3 linked regions of the Arabidopsis thaliana genome follow. The protein of the gene in region 3 interacts with the protein of the main gene of each other region in a pairwise test. Each region holds a gene or a part of one and is shown on either strand. Other genes may lie near its edges. The genes, in order: FBS1, EMB3003 and AT3G54190.

Region 1 (3,755 bases), on a different chromosome or scaffold from region 3:
GAGGCTAAAAACTAATGAAATAAATATGCATCTCTTATTATTAATCCACTTTGTAAAAACCAAATAAACTATATTCACACTACACAACATACAAAAAGATCTATAACCCTCCCATAGAGTTTGTTTGTGACCTTCTAAAGAAGCTAGCCTTTCCAAAACCCTATCTCTCTTTTTGTATCTAACAACAATTTACAGAGACCTATCCAAACCAAAACCCAAAAAAAAACATAACTAAAAACCCCTCCTCTTCAATTAAGAATCTTGAAGAAACCAAGTTGTTTGATTCAGTGGAATAGAGCCACTGAGACTCCGGAATCGTCCTTGTTGCGGTTTATCCTCGAAAGACGGTACCTTTTCTGCAACGGAGCTCCCGGAGCTTCAATCTCTTCATCATCATCCTCTACATCAAACGGTTTATCCCAACCAAATCTGCCATGGTGGAAAACCGAGGTTTTCCGAGGTGTACTATACGCGAAATGTGACTGCTTTGCTATCATTGTCTGCAAAGAAAAACAAAGAACATTTAGATTCAGAATCAACTAATGGTGTATGTATCATCAAAACCTACTAATGATGCCAAATTTTACTTACAGCTTCTCTTATTGTCTTTGAAACATGAAACAATTGTTTCAAGTCTTCATGCTCGACCCCACAGATAATCCTCACCTGTAATAATGAATCACAAGATCTATCAACACGTGTCTATGAAATGTCAAACGATCTTACGCACAATGACAAAAGTTTTCCAGATATGGAAAAAGTTGAACATTTTCTCATTTCCATTACGATTTTGAATCTCAGAGAACAAAAAGGATTCAACTTTTAGCTCAATCTGATTGACACTCGCTGAATTAACAAAGACTCTCAGCTAATTAACAGAACCCAGAAATCACAAACAGATAAAAATAAGTTGTGATGAAATTCTTGAATCTCAAAGACCAAAAAGGTTCAACTTTCAGCTCAAATCTGATTAATACTCAGTAAATTATTATGAAATCTCAACTAATTAACAGAACCCAGAAATCAGAAATGATTAAGAATGAGTTTCTGATGAAATGAACCAGAAATTTAAACACTTTCTCATTTCCAAAACGAATTTTGAATCTCAGATTAAAAACAAAAGGATTCAACTTTCAGCTCAATATGATTGATACTTTGTAAATTAAGAAGAAATGACAACTAATTAACAAAACCAGAAAGAGATTAAAAGAAAGAGTTAGTGAAGAAACGAACCAGAATATCTAGGGGAAGATCTTCAAGCTCTCGACTCTGACCCTCTGCAACCGAAGTAGTTTTGTCATCGCAGAGCTTTTTTCCAACAGGTGAAGTGAAAATCGAATCCTCCATCTCATCACCAGATGAAATGAGAATCCTCTTTCTCCCAAATCCTCTCTTGTACTGTACAAACTCTAACCCTAACCCTAATCCTCCATTATCCACATCACGACGTTGCCTCAAATTCGGCTTCTGGGTAACGATTCTTTTCTTCCCCAATGCCATTTTTATCAATCTGCAACAGCAAAAGTACAAAAAATCAGATCTTTCCCCAAATTTCAGAGAATCCCCAAAACAGAGGAATTGGATAAAGAGAAAATGAAAAGTGAACCTAAGAGCAAGAAACAAACTTACAAATAAATAAGATTTTTCCGAAGATTTTCCGAGATTTGTTGATGTGAGTCTTGAAAGTATATGTTTGTGGGAAATGAACAAAAGCTGAGAGAAAAATGAGTAATTTTTCTTTTTTGGTGTTAATATTATGACAAAGAAAAATGAACTACTACTTCTTCTCTACTTATAGTAGATTAATTATCTTTCTTTTTCTTTTTAAGTCAATTTATTATTATTTAAATGAAAACGAGTAAAGTAGAAAATGCTGGAAATTTCCTAAGCAAAAAAAAATATCTAAATTTTTTAAATTTTGTTGTTCTCCCTCTCTTCCTTACTTTTTGCTGGTAAGCAAAAGACGGCTTACAAAAAAACTAGCCGTTGGGGAAAGACACGTGGTGAACTTTGAGCCGGAGGAGGAACCAACGTGGGTGGTTCGTGTGCTGACGTGGCGACAAGTTGTTCGTTTGACGGTTTAGTCGCCTCACACGGTTTTGTTTTGTTCTTAGGATTCGCAAAAAGTAAAAATCTTTCGAGTCACTGACACAATCTTTGATAATCTAACACTTATCAGTTATCACCGACCAAAAGAAATTAGATGATTATTGTTTAATTTATTTATTATTATTGATTACTCTTTATTTTAATCCATTGTTATTGAATTTTTTTGACATTTAATTATGGTATATGCAATTAGTTTCTTTTATGTCAATATTGTATCATCAAGATCTATAGATGTTATATGTATATATCATTGTTATATTTTTCTATTTTTATTTCCACATTCTTATTGGAGAAAATTACAATATTACTAGAAATAAAAAGATTTGCATGCCATTTGTTGAGATTTAGTCTTTATTGATTAACTCTTCATTTTAATCCATTATTTGTTTTTGAAAAAAAATAAGAAGATTTGCATGCCATTTGTTAAGTTTTTTTTTTTTTTTTTTTTAATAAATATGGACTTCTCATTTATAAAGGTTTTCCCCAAATATGGGATTGGATCACGGTAATACACAACGAGAAACACAGTTACAAAAATGCAAATCGGAGAATAATAACCTGGCACCGGAAAGGAGGATTATATCCTGGAGACACCGTGAAACAGAGAGTCCGACACACTAGCGACGGCAGATGCGCAGTCCACAGTTTTGCAGTCCGACACACTAATGACGACACATTTATTAAGATTTAGTTATCAATGGTTAACTTTCATTTTAATCCATTCTTATTGAGTCTTTTTGACATTTTTTTATGGTATATATGCAATTGATTTTGTTTTAGGTCAATATTATATCAAGATCCAAATTAAGCTTTTAACAAATAAAAAAATATAAGATATGCATGCATAATTGTTATATTTTTCTATTTTTGTTTCCACAATGTTATTGAAAAAATACAATATTATGGAAAAAAATATATGCATGCCATTTGTTCATATTTTTACTAACTTATTGGCTAATGTAAGGATATGTTTAAAGTATATTTTAAAATTGGTCAATTTGTTTTTTATTTCTCAATAAAACAGTAATTAATAATTAAGAGATACAAATATTACATTAATTAAATTGACAAAACTAATTAAATTAAATTATATATATATATAGTATTGAATTTTTGTACCTAAGTATGATATATCATATATATAATTTACTTAAGTTATTTACTGAAAAATCAAGGTCCAAAAATATGCATAGATTAATGATCATTATTATATATCTCTATTTTTATTCCCAAACTCTTATTGAAAAAAGTGTGCATGCCCATTAGTTGAGGATCTTACTAAATTATTAACTAATTTTAGGTACATCTAGTTAAGAATTTTTTTTCTTATTGTAAGTTTTTTTTATCAACCTATTATAAATTAGCAAAAAGAGCTGAATGATATTATTCACCGAACCTAATAATATTTGAAAAGACAATTGTATATCGAAAATATTAGTTATTTATAGATGAAATAATCAAAAATATGCAAAAATATATAAAAGCGAAAAAATACTTAAAAATAACCAAATATATATGTATGAAAATATCCAAAAATAACCAAAATATCTAAAACTATTCAAAACAAAATACCGAATCAATACCAAAATTTAAAACCAAAAAACCTGAACTGAACCAAAACCGAACTAAAATATTAAAATATTCTA
Region 2 (3,755 bases), on a different chromosome or scaffold from region 3:
GGACAAGGCTTGATCCTCTTTCTAGGGCTCAGAGATCCACCCCTCCTGCCTTGACCCTCCTCGCCACTTGGTTCTCCTTATCCCAATGACATTTTCAGTTGTTGTTTCTTTTGTAGGCTTGGTTTCATTGGGTTCACTTTGTGTTTGGACCTTCCTCTTGCTGCGGGGGCTGCGTCCTCTTGTTTCGGGCCTCGGCCTTGTTTGTTTCTGTTTCAGGTTTGCGTACCCCTTCTCGGCATTTATCATATATGTTATGTTTTTCTAGTAAAAATTTAAAAAAAAAAAAAAAAAAAATTTCAGATTAGCGATTAACAGATGATAAACGGTGTCATAGTGTATTGATTATCAAAACAAATTGCAAGTGATTCATACTACGAACAACCGTTTGATTTTATTTTGGTGTGTGTTTGTTTAGAGAAGAAGAAAAGACAAGGTTTCTTCTAGAATTATCTATTCAGGTAAATAAACATTTATCTTTTCAATAAAATACAAAAATCAATCAATATGTGAAATGATCTGAAGAAAGTTTTGTGGGTTTCGGCCCAAAACAAAATTGTCATGTTATTCATTAATGGACTCCTAAATTATTCGTTGAAGCAAACAATTTTTGGCATTTTATTAGATATTCGATAAATAATCATAAATAATAGACTTATTTGTCTAAAAAACCACAAAAACAAATAAAAATTGTATGACTTTTTTGTGTTGTCGTCGTCGTCGTTATCAACCCTCATCATCATCATCACCAACGTAACCACCGACGCCATCATCATCGCCATTAACAACTGGATCTGTCTCCGTTTCCATCAAATCTCTTTCTCTCTCTGCAGATCAATTGATTTTTTACAACGTGATTGAAGCGGGGCTAGCTCCGGTGACGATAGTTGATTGGTTTTGTCCCTTAAGATGAGCTCCTTCAATGGTAACGAACGGCGTCGGCGGCCGTGAATCATGAGAGAGATGGCTCAGTTTCTTTTTCTTTTCTCTGATCTTCCTCTTTATCATCAGATTCTATCTCAGAAACTTATCAATGTGCGTTTGATTTTTTTTGCTTGGGTTCCCTTTACAATAATCATTAGGGTTTAGTTTTTGAATGGAATTCTCTTCCAATAAACAAAATATCATTAATGGTGAATAGTGAGGACGCAAATGATTATTGAAAAGCTTTGATTTCGAATACTCGATTGCAGATCTGCCACAAATCTGAAACTCTGTTTTTACTATTCACCTTCTTCTTCATTTGCAAGATGATTTCATTTCGTTCGTTTAATTTTTTGCTTTGGTTTCATAAATACTATCATCTTTAGGGTTTAATTATTGTGAATCAATGAATGTTTTTAGTTAGAATAGATTTTAAGAATATGAGATTTGGAAAAAAAATTGGATTTAAAAGAAGAGGAGCGTGCAAGAAGATGATGAGAGAAGATGATGAGATTATTCAGGGGTAAAATGATCAAATCGCCCTATCAAAACTACTCTTTTTCAAAGATCATACACAAAAGCCTCAAAATCAAAATTTTTATCAAAAAACATCCTCTTTTGACAATAACCCCTAAATAATATTATAAGTATTATACACTAATATTCTGCAACTGTCCAGATTATTTATCATTTACCAAAGAAATATATTAAAAATTATATTTATCTTTAAATTCAATATTTATAATGGATCAAACATCAAACAAATTTGTATACCGAAATTTTTTTAAAACACAAAATATAAGTTTCTCCTTAATTTTCTTTTATGAAATTTTCTTCTAAAAATAGAATAACATATAAAATAATACATAAGAGAGAAATCATGCTTTATTTTACAGAGAAAAATAGAGATTTACATTGGAGATAATCTTATATGAAAACTGTAAAAAACTATAAAATCAGGGCGAAAAATGTGTATGGTAAAAAAACTTAACATGTGGTTAAAGGTTTTAAAAAGATTACAGAATAGTTCTCTATTGGGCCTTCGAAAAAAGCCCAATACCCAACAACAAAAACGCGCGTGTATCACACCTTCAATACACTAGTAAGAGTCACACAGTGATCGTCACCGGTAAATTAGTTGGCAAACTCCGCCTGCTCTTCGATAATTCCGAGGAGCTTCTTCACTCTTCTTATATCTCATTTCTCTCTATCTCTCTCTCTCTCTCGCATTGCGATTAACGAAATTCGAAAAATGTCTCGTCTTCTCCAAACACCCTTCTTACCTTCAGTTTCCCTCCCCACAAAAACACGATCTTCCGTTACGGGTTTCCGGGTAAAGCCCAGAATCATCCCAATTCAAGCAAAGATCCGAGAAATCTTCATGCCTGCACTAAGTTCCACGATGACCGAAGGCAAAATCGTCTCTTGGGTTAAATCAGAAGGCGATAAACTCAACAAAGGAGAGAGTGTTGTTGTTGTTGAATCTGATAAAGCTGATATGGATGTTGAGACTTTCTATGATGGTTATCTAGCTGCAATCATGGTTGAAGAAGGTGGTGTTGCTCCTGTTGGTTCTGCTATTGCTTTGTTAGCTGAAACTGAAGATGAGATTGCTGATGCTAAAGCTAAAGCTTCTGGTGGTGGTGGTGGTGGTGATTCTAAGGCTCCTCCGGCTTCTCCTCCCACGGCTGCAGTTGAAGCACCTGTGAGTGTTGAGAAGAAGGTTGCAGCTGCTCCGGTGTCCATTAAGGCGGTGGCGGCGTCTGCGGTGCATCCGGCGTCTGAAGGAGGGAAGAGGATTGTGGCGTCTCCTTATGCTAAGAAGTTAGCTAAGGAGTTGAAGGTTGAATTGGCTGGTTTAGTTGGAAGTGGACCGATGGGAAGGATTGTGGCTAAAGATGTTGAGGCGGTTGCTGCTGGAGGAGGAGTTCAAGCTGCTGTTGCTGTTAAGGAGGTAGTGGCAGCTCCTGGTGTGGAGTTGGGATCGGTGGTTCCTTTTACGACAATGCAGGGGGCTGTGAGTAGGAATATGGTGGAGAGTCTTGGTGTTCCTACTTTTAGAGTCGGTTACACGATTAGTACGGATGCTCTTGATGCTCTCTACAAGAAGGTGAGTGTGTTTTGAAATCCGTTTGGTTGGTATGATAGAGTAGACTGGAGATTCCATTGATTGTGATAATAGTTGCTTGATGAAGTTTTGAACTTTGGGATGAGATTATGAGAGATAGCTAGTTGAATTATAAATGATAGTATCTTATGATGTGCATCAGAAGCATACACTAGTTACAAACTGTAAGTGTAAATGTTGATTTGGTTCACATTTTGTGTTTGGTTTGTTTAGATTAAGTCGAAAGGTGTGACAATGACGGCACTTTTAGCAAAGGCAACTGCACTTGCACTGGCGAAACATCCAGTTGTAAACTCGTCTTGTAGAGATGGTAACAGTTTTGTGTATAATAGTAGCATCAACGTTGCTGTTGCTGTTGCTATTGATGGTGGTTTGATCACTCCGGTGCTTCAGAACGCTGATAAGGTTCTTTTCTTTTGTATGCTTTATAAGAGATTTTGAGTTTACTCTGTATTCAAAACCGGTATCAGTGGGTTGTTCTATCTTTTGTAAACAGGTTGACATTTATTCGTTATCTAGAAAATGGAAAGAATTGGTTGATAAGGCTCGAGCCAAGCAGCTGCAGCCTCAGGAGTACAACACTGGTAATCCTACTACTAGAATATTGAAGTGATTTGAGTTTGAGTAATCCTTCAACTAGATTGTTTGAGTCTTGTTGTTTTTATTTCCCTTCCGGGTAATTGCAGGTACCTTCACTCTCTCTAAC
Region 3 (3,755 bases):
GCTTAACAAGAAGTTTCTCATTGAATTGTTCAATGAAGTCAACTTTCTTGTTTCGGTGAAGCAAATGATTGAAGGACTTGAGAACAGTGCCATCTTCTATCGACAGAATCTTCAGAGGAACATGACTGGCAGCTCTCTTGAAGATCAATAACATTATCCCTGGACTGATGCAGGGAATCAAATGGGCACAACAGTTAGAAAATTCACAAGTCTGTCAATCCAATCTAGTGGACAGCACAGTTAGAAAAGCAGCTTGCTCAATATTTGCAAACAAGAAACAACAAAAGGGTCAAAGAAAGATGGAGAAAAGTTACCTGATTTTAATTTCCTGGACATTTTTATCTGATATCGAATATAGCATGGTGTAGTTTTTCAGATCAAACACCTTGTATACACTGCAGAAACAGCTATCAGGCTCAGAGGATGAAACTTGTCGTAAAAAAAAATTTAGGCTGTGAGACTAGAAAAATAACCTGTCCTGCGCAGAATAAGTCAGCACCTTTCCATTGACATCATCAAACTCAACAAAACCAGGCCACTTTAATGATTCAGACTCAAAAAGAGCAAACCCTGCATCCGGCTGACCTCTCAGAATATACCTAATAGTTGATTACAACCAGAAACACACATTAGTTTGAATAACGCAACAGACGACATGATACCGATTTGGTAGATGGTAGAAAACTTACTCAATTCTAGTGGATCTGCATTTCAAAGAGCTGAAATTGTCTGAAGCATAAACAGAAACTGTGATGAGAGAATCATTGTTCTTGTTGTAGAACAAGCTCCTGATGACTTCATCTGGACTAACATTTAAAAAGCATATTCTTTTGTTCGACTCTGCAGTTTAAGGTAAATCATACTATCAGTCACATAGACACAAAGCTGAGAGTAAGTAGTCAAGTTACGATAATTACCTCTACTAAAAGCTGCGCAAACACCAGAATGTGCAAGCGCAAAAACAATGTCCCTTGCAGCAACAATCTCAATAACTTTAGTTCTCTTCATCAAAAACGGTAATGCAACTAAACAGTGCCCTTTAGGATCGTGAGTATCATATTGCTCCTGAAATCAAAATTCATCAAGCAAGAGCAGCTTAAATTAGTACTCAAATCAAATCCCAATTAAGAGAGAGAAGCAATCTCTAGGGTTTGGGAATTAGGGCAAATTACAAAAGATTGAAAATTCAGAACATACCACGAGACGCATGTTACGAAATCTCTCTTGGGCGGTGCTAATAGAGAAAGCTCGATCTTTACGAGAAGAGATTTCTCTTCGTTGAAGCTTTTTAACACTGTTGACGAATCCATCGGGTCGAGACCTTTTCTTAGCCACAATTCTTCTTCCACTACAAGGTCTAGGGCTTGCCGTAATCCTTCTTCCTTCCATCTAATTCTTCCTTCTTCAAGCCCAAATATTTCCAAGTAGGTTTTGAATTTTTGTGGAAACCCTAAAGGATGAAGAAACCCTAAGAGGAAAAAGAAGAAGCGAGAGAGTTGGGTAATCTCTAGGAGGAAGACGAGAAGTGACGGCTACTACATGGGAGTGTGACGTAAGACTTTTTTGCAGATTCAGATTGGAATTAAGCTGATTTCAATGATTCAGAGCTCTTTTTTTCTTTCAAAATCTCAATTTCGAGCACGAACCAGCCGAACCAATCCGAAGCATCGTAGATCGTAGAAAGATAAAATTAATATTGAATATTTTTAAAACGCAGCGTTTAAGGGGTTGAAAGAAATTAACTTTTATGGGCTGTGATGGATGGCCCAGCCCAATAAACCTTGTGACAATTGATTAGTTTGCTTGATAGAATTCTTCGAAAATATTTAATTATTTTGTTTTACTATTAGTATTTTTAAAAAATTCATGAGTCAACTACACGAAAAAACGTCATCACATAGTCACACATGTAAGTTTTTTTAATTATACGAAGTATTGCTTTCATATACGACCATCAATCATGTTTACAAACACTATAACAATCTTACACCGTTATTTTGGTTGTCAAAATCCGGCATCGACTTATTATTTTGGAATTGGATATTTATGTTTATTTGTTATTTTGTTTACCAGCCATATTATTTTATAAGTAAAAGTCATTGATTGGTTATCCAATTTGTAAGATAAAAGGTTTAGAAATGAAACATCATTAAATTTTGTTCTAATACATTGGACTAAATCACTAAAACAATCTATTTGAGAATTTGAATATGTTCTAATTCATATGCTATTGTTCAATGCGTTTTGGTAAAAATACTATAGTTGACTTTCAAAATTTTCTAATAATTTTTTTTAAAAAAACTAAAAAATAGAGTAAATGTTTAGGTAAAAGTATCGTAAATTATTGGAAACTTACTTTTCAATGATGTGATTCTAATAACTTCTATCGTGGGATTAAAAAAATGTCAGAAACTCAACAGCAAAAAGTCAATAAAACAAATGGGCATTCAAATGCATGATGAATTTAATAAGAGAGACAGATTAAACGGGCCAAAATCCAGAAGTCGTCCCGTGTAAATGAAGAAATGGGCCCAGAAAAAGACGGTGAATTAGTCATTGAATATGTTACGTAATAACCACACGAAATTAGGCAAAAGCGACGGATGATGCATCAAGCATGGTCTCTTTACAAAAGCCATGTGAAGTATTTGATTTCTACCGCTAACCTCACTTTATTATTTTTATCATCTCCCTTCTTCCACGTCCAGCTGAATTAATTAATGCACGTCTTCGAAACATTATTAAAAATGGTCAAATCTCAACTCAATCAATACCGATTTTAATAAAATTCAACTAACAACCATTTTTATAAAGAGCTGTCTTTACGACGTTCGACGAACATTATGTATGTTTTATACTTTTATCCGTTTTTATTTTATTTTTCTAAATACTTATTTTATGAATTTAGAAGTGTGTTACAAAATTAAATTGAGATTCCATTTACAGACATACACCAAAAAAAAAAAAAAAACTAGTATCTCATCAAATTCTTCCCAATTTATGAAAATGTAATTTTCATCAATTAACTATTTTTTTAAAAAATATACTCGTGGAAAATCAAGAAATATTAAAATGTAAAATAACAAATTATTAAAATGAAATGTGTTTGAGTCATGTAATTAAAAACTGGTAACGAATCCGCGTACAAATAGTGGTCTCCTCCTTTATAGGATAAACCAAAACCCCTGAGAAACTCAACAGCGAGAGAACCACAAAGCGTAACAAAGAGAGTAATAACTATGAGTGATTTTTCAATCAAACCCGATGATAAAAAGGAAGAGGAGAAGCCAGCAACAGCCATGTTACCACCACCCAAACCAAACGCTTCTTCCATGGAAACGCAATCTGCTAACACCGGAACCGCTAAAAAACTGCGGCGGAAACGCAACTGCAAAATCTGTATCTGTTTCACTATCCTTCTCATTCTCCTAATCGCCATAGTTATCGTCATCTTAGCTTTCACTCTCTTCAAACCAAAACGCCCAACTACTACAATCGATTCCGTCACCGTTGATCGTCTCCAAGCTTCCGTCAATCCTCTCCTTCTCAAAGTCCTCCTAAACCTAACGCTCAACGTCGATCTCTCTCTCAAAAACCCTAACCGCATCGGGTTTAGCTACGATTCGTCGTCGGCGTTGTTGAATTACAGAGGCCAAGTGATCGGTGAAGCTCCTCTTCCGGCTAACCGAATCGCGGCGCGGAAAACGGTGCCGTTGAATATAACGTTGACGCTAATGGCGGATCGGTTACTCTCT

Evidence for each region.
Region 1: the proteins of AT3G54190 (region 3) and FBS1 interact in a two-hybrid assay, tested with the Arabidopsis thaliana proteins (one large-scale study listed by BioGRID).
Region 2: the proteins of AT3G54190 (region 3) and EMB3003 interact in a two-hybrid assay, tested with the Arabidopsis thaliana proteins (one large-scale study listed by BioGRID).

The regions. Positions count from the first base shown.
Region 1 is NC_003070.9:22,626,271-22,630,025, reverse strand, and holds FBS1 (F-box family protein), read right to left. Parts: upstream 1,763-3,755; 5' UTR 1,630-1,762; intron 1,618-1,629; exon of another isoform or gene 1,511-1,617; 5' UTR 1,501-1,510; coding exon 1,234-1,500; intron 667-1,233; coding exon 592-666; intron 501-591; coding exon 285-500; 3' UTR 6-284; downstream 1-5.
Region 2 is NC_003070.9:12,588,503-12,592,257, reverse strand, and holds the start of EMB3003 (2-oxoacid dehydrogenases acyltransferase family protein), read left to right. Parts: upstream 1-2,034; 5' UTR 2,035-2,173; coding exon 2,174-3,031; intron 3,032-3,262; coding exon 3,263-3,454; intron 3,455-3,545; coding exon 3,546-3,633; intron 3,634-3,735; coding exon 3,736-3,755. Other genes in the region: AT1G34440 (uncharacterized protein), read left to right, coding at 1-70, 117-216, 416-458, 831-910. UniProt on the Arabidopsis thaliana protein: The pyruvate dehydrogenase complex catalyzes the overall conversion of pyruvate to acetyl-CoA and CO(2).
Region 3 is NC_003074.8:20,062,492-20,066,246, forward strand, and holds the start of AT3G54190 (Transducin/WD40 repeat-like superfamily protein), read right to left. Parts: upstream 1,671-3,755; 5' UTR 1,390-1,670; coding exon 1,198-1,389; intron 1,066-1,197; coding exon 918-1,065; intron 841-917; coding exon 690-840; intron 600-689; coding exon 474-599; intron 396-473; coding exon 315-395; intron 165-314; coding exon 1-164. Other genes in the region: AT3G54200 (Late embryogenesis abundant (LEA) hydroxyproline-rich glycoprotein family), read left to right, coding at 3,240-3,755.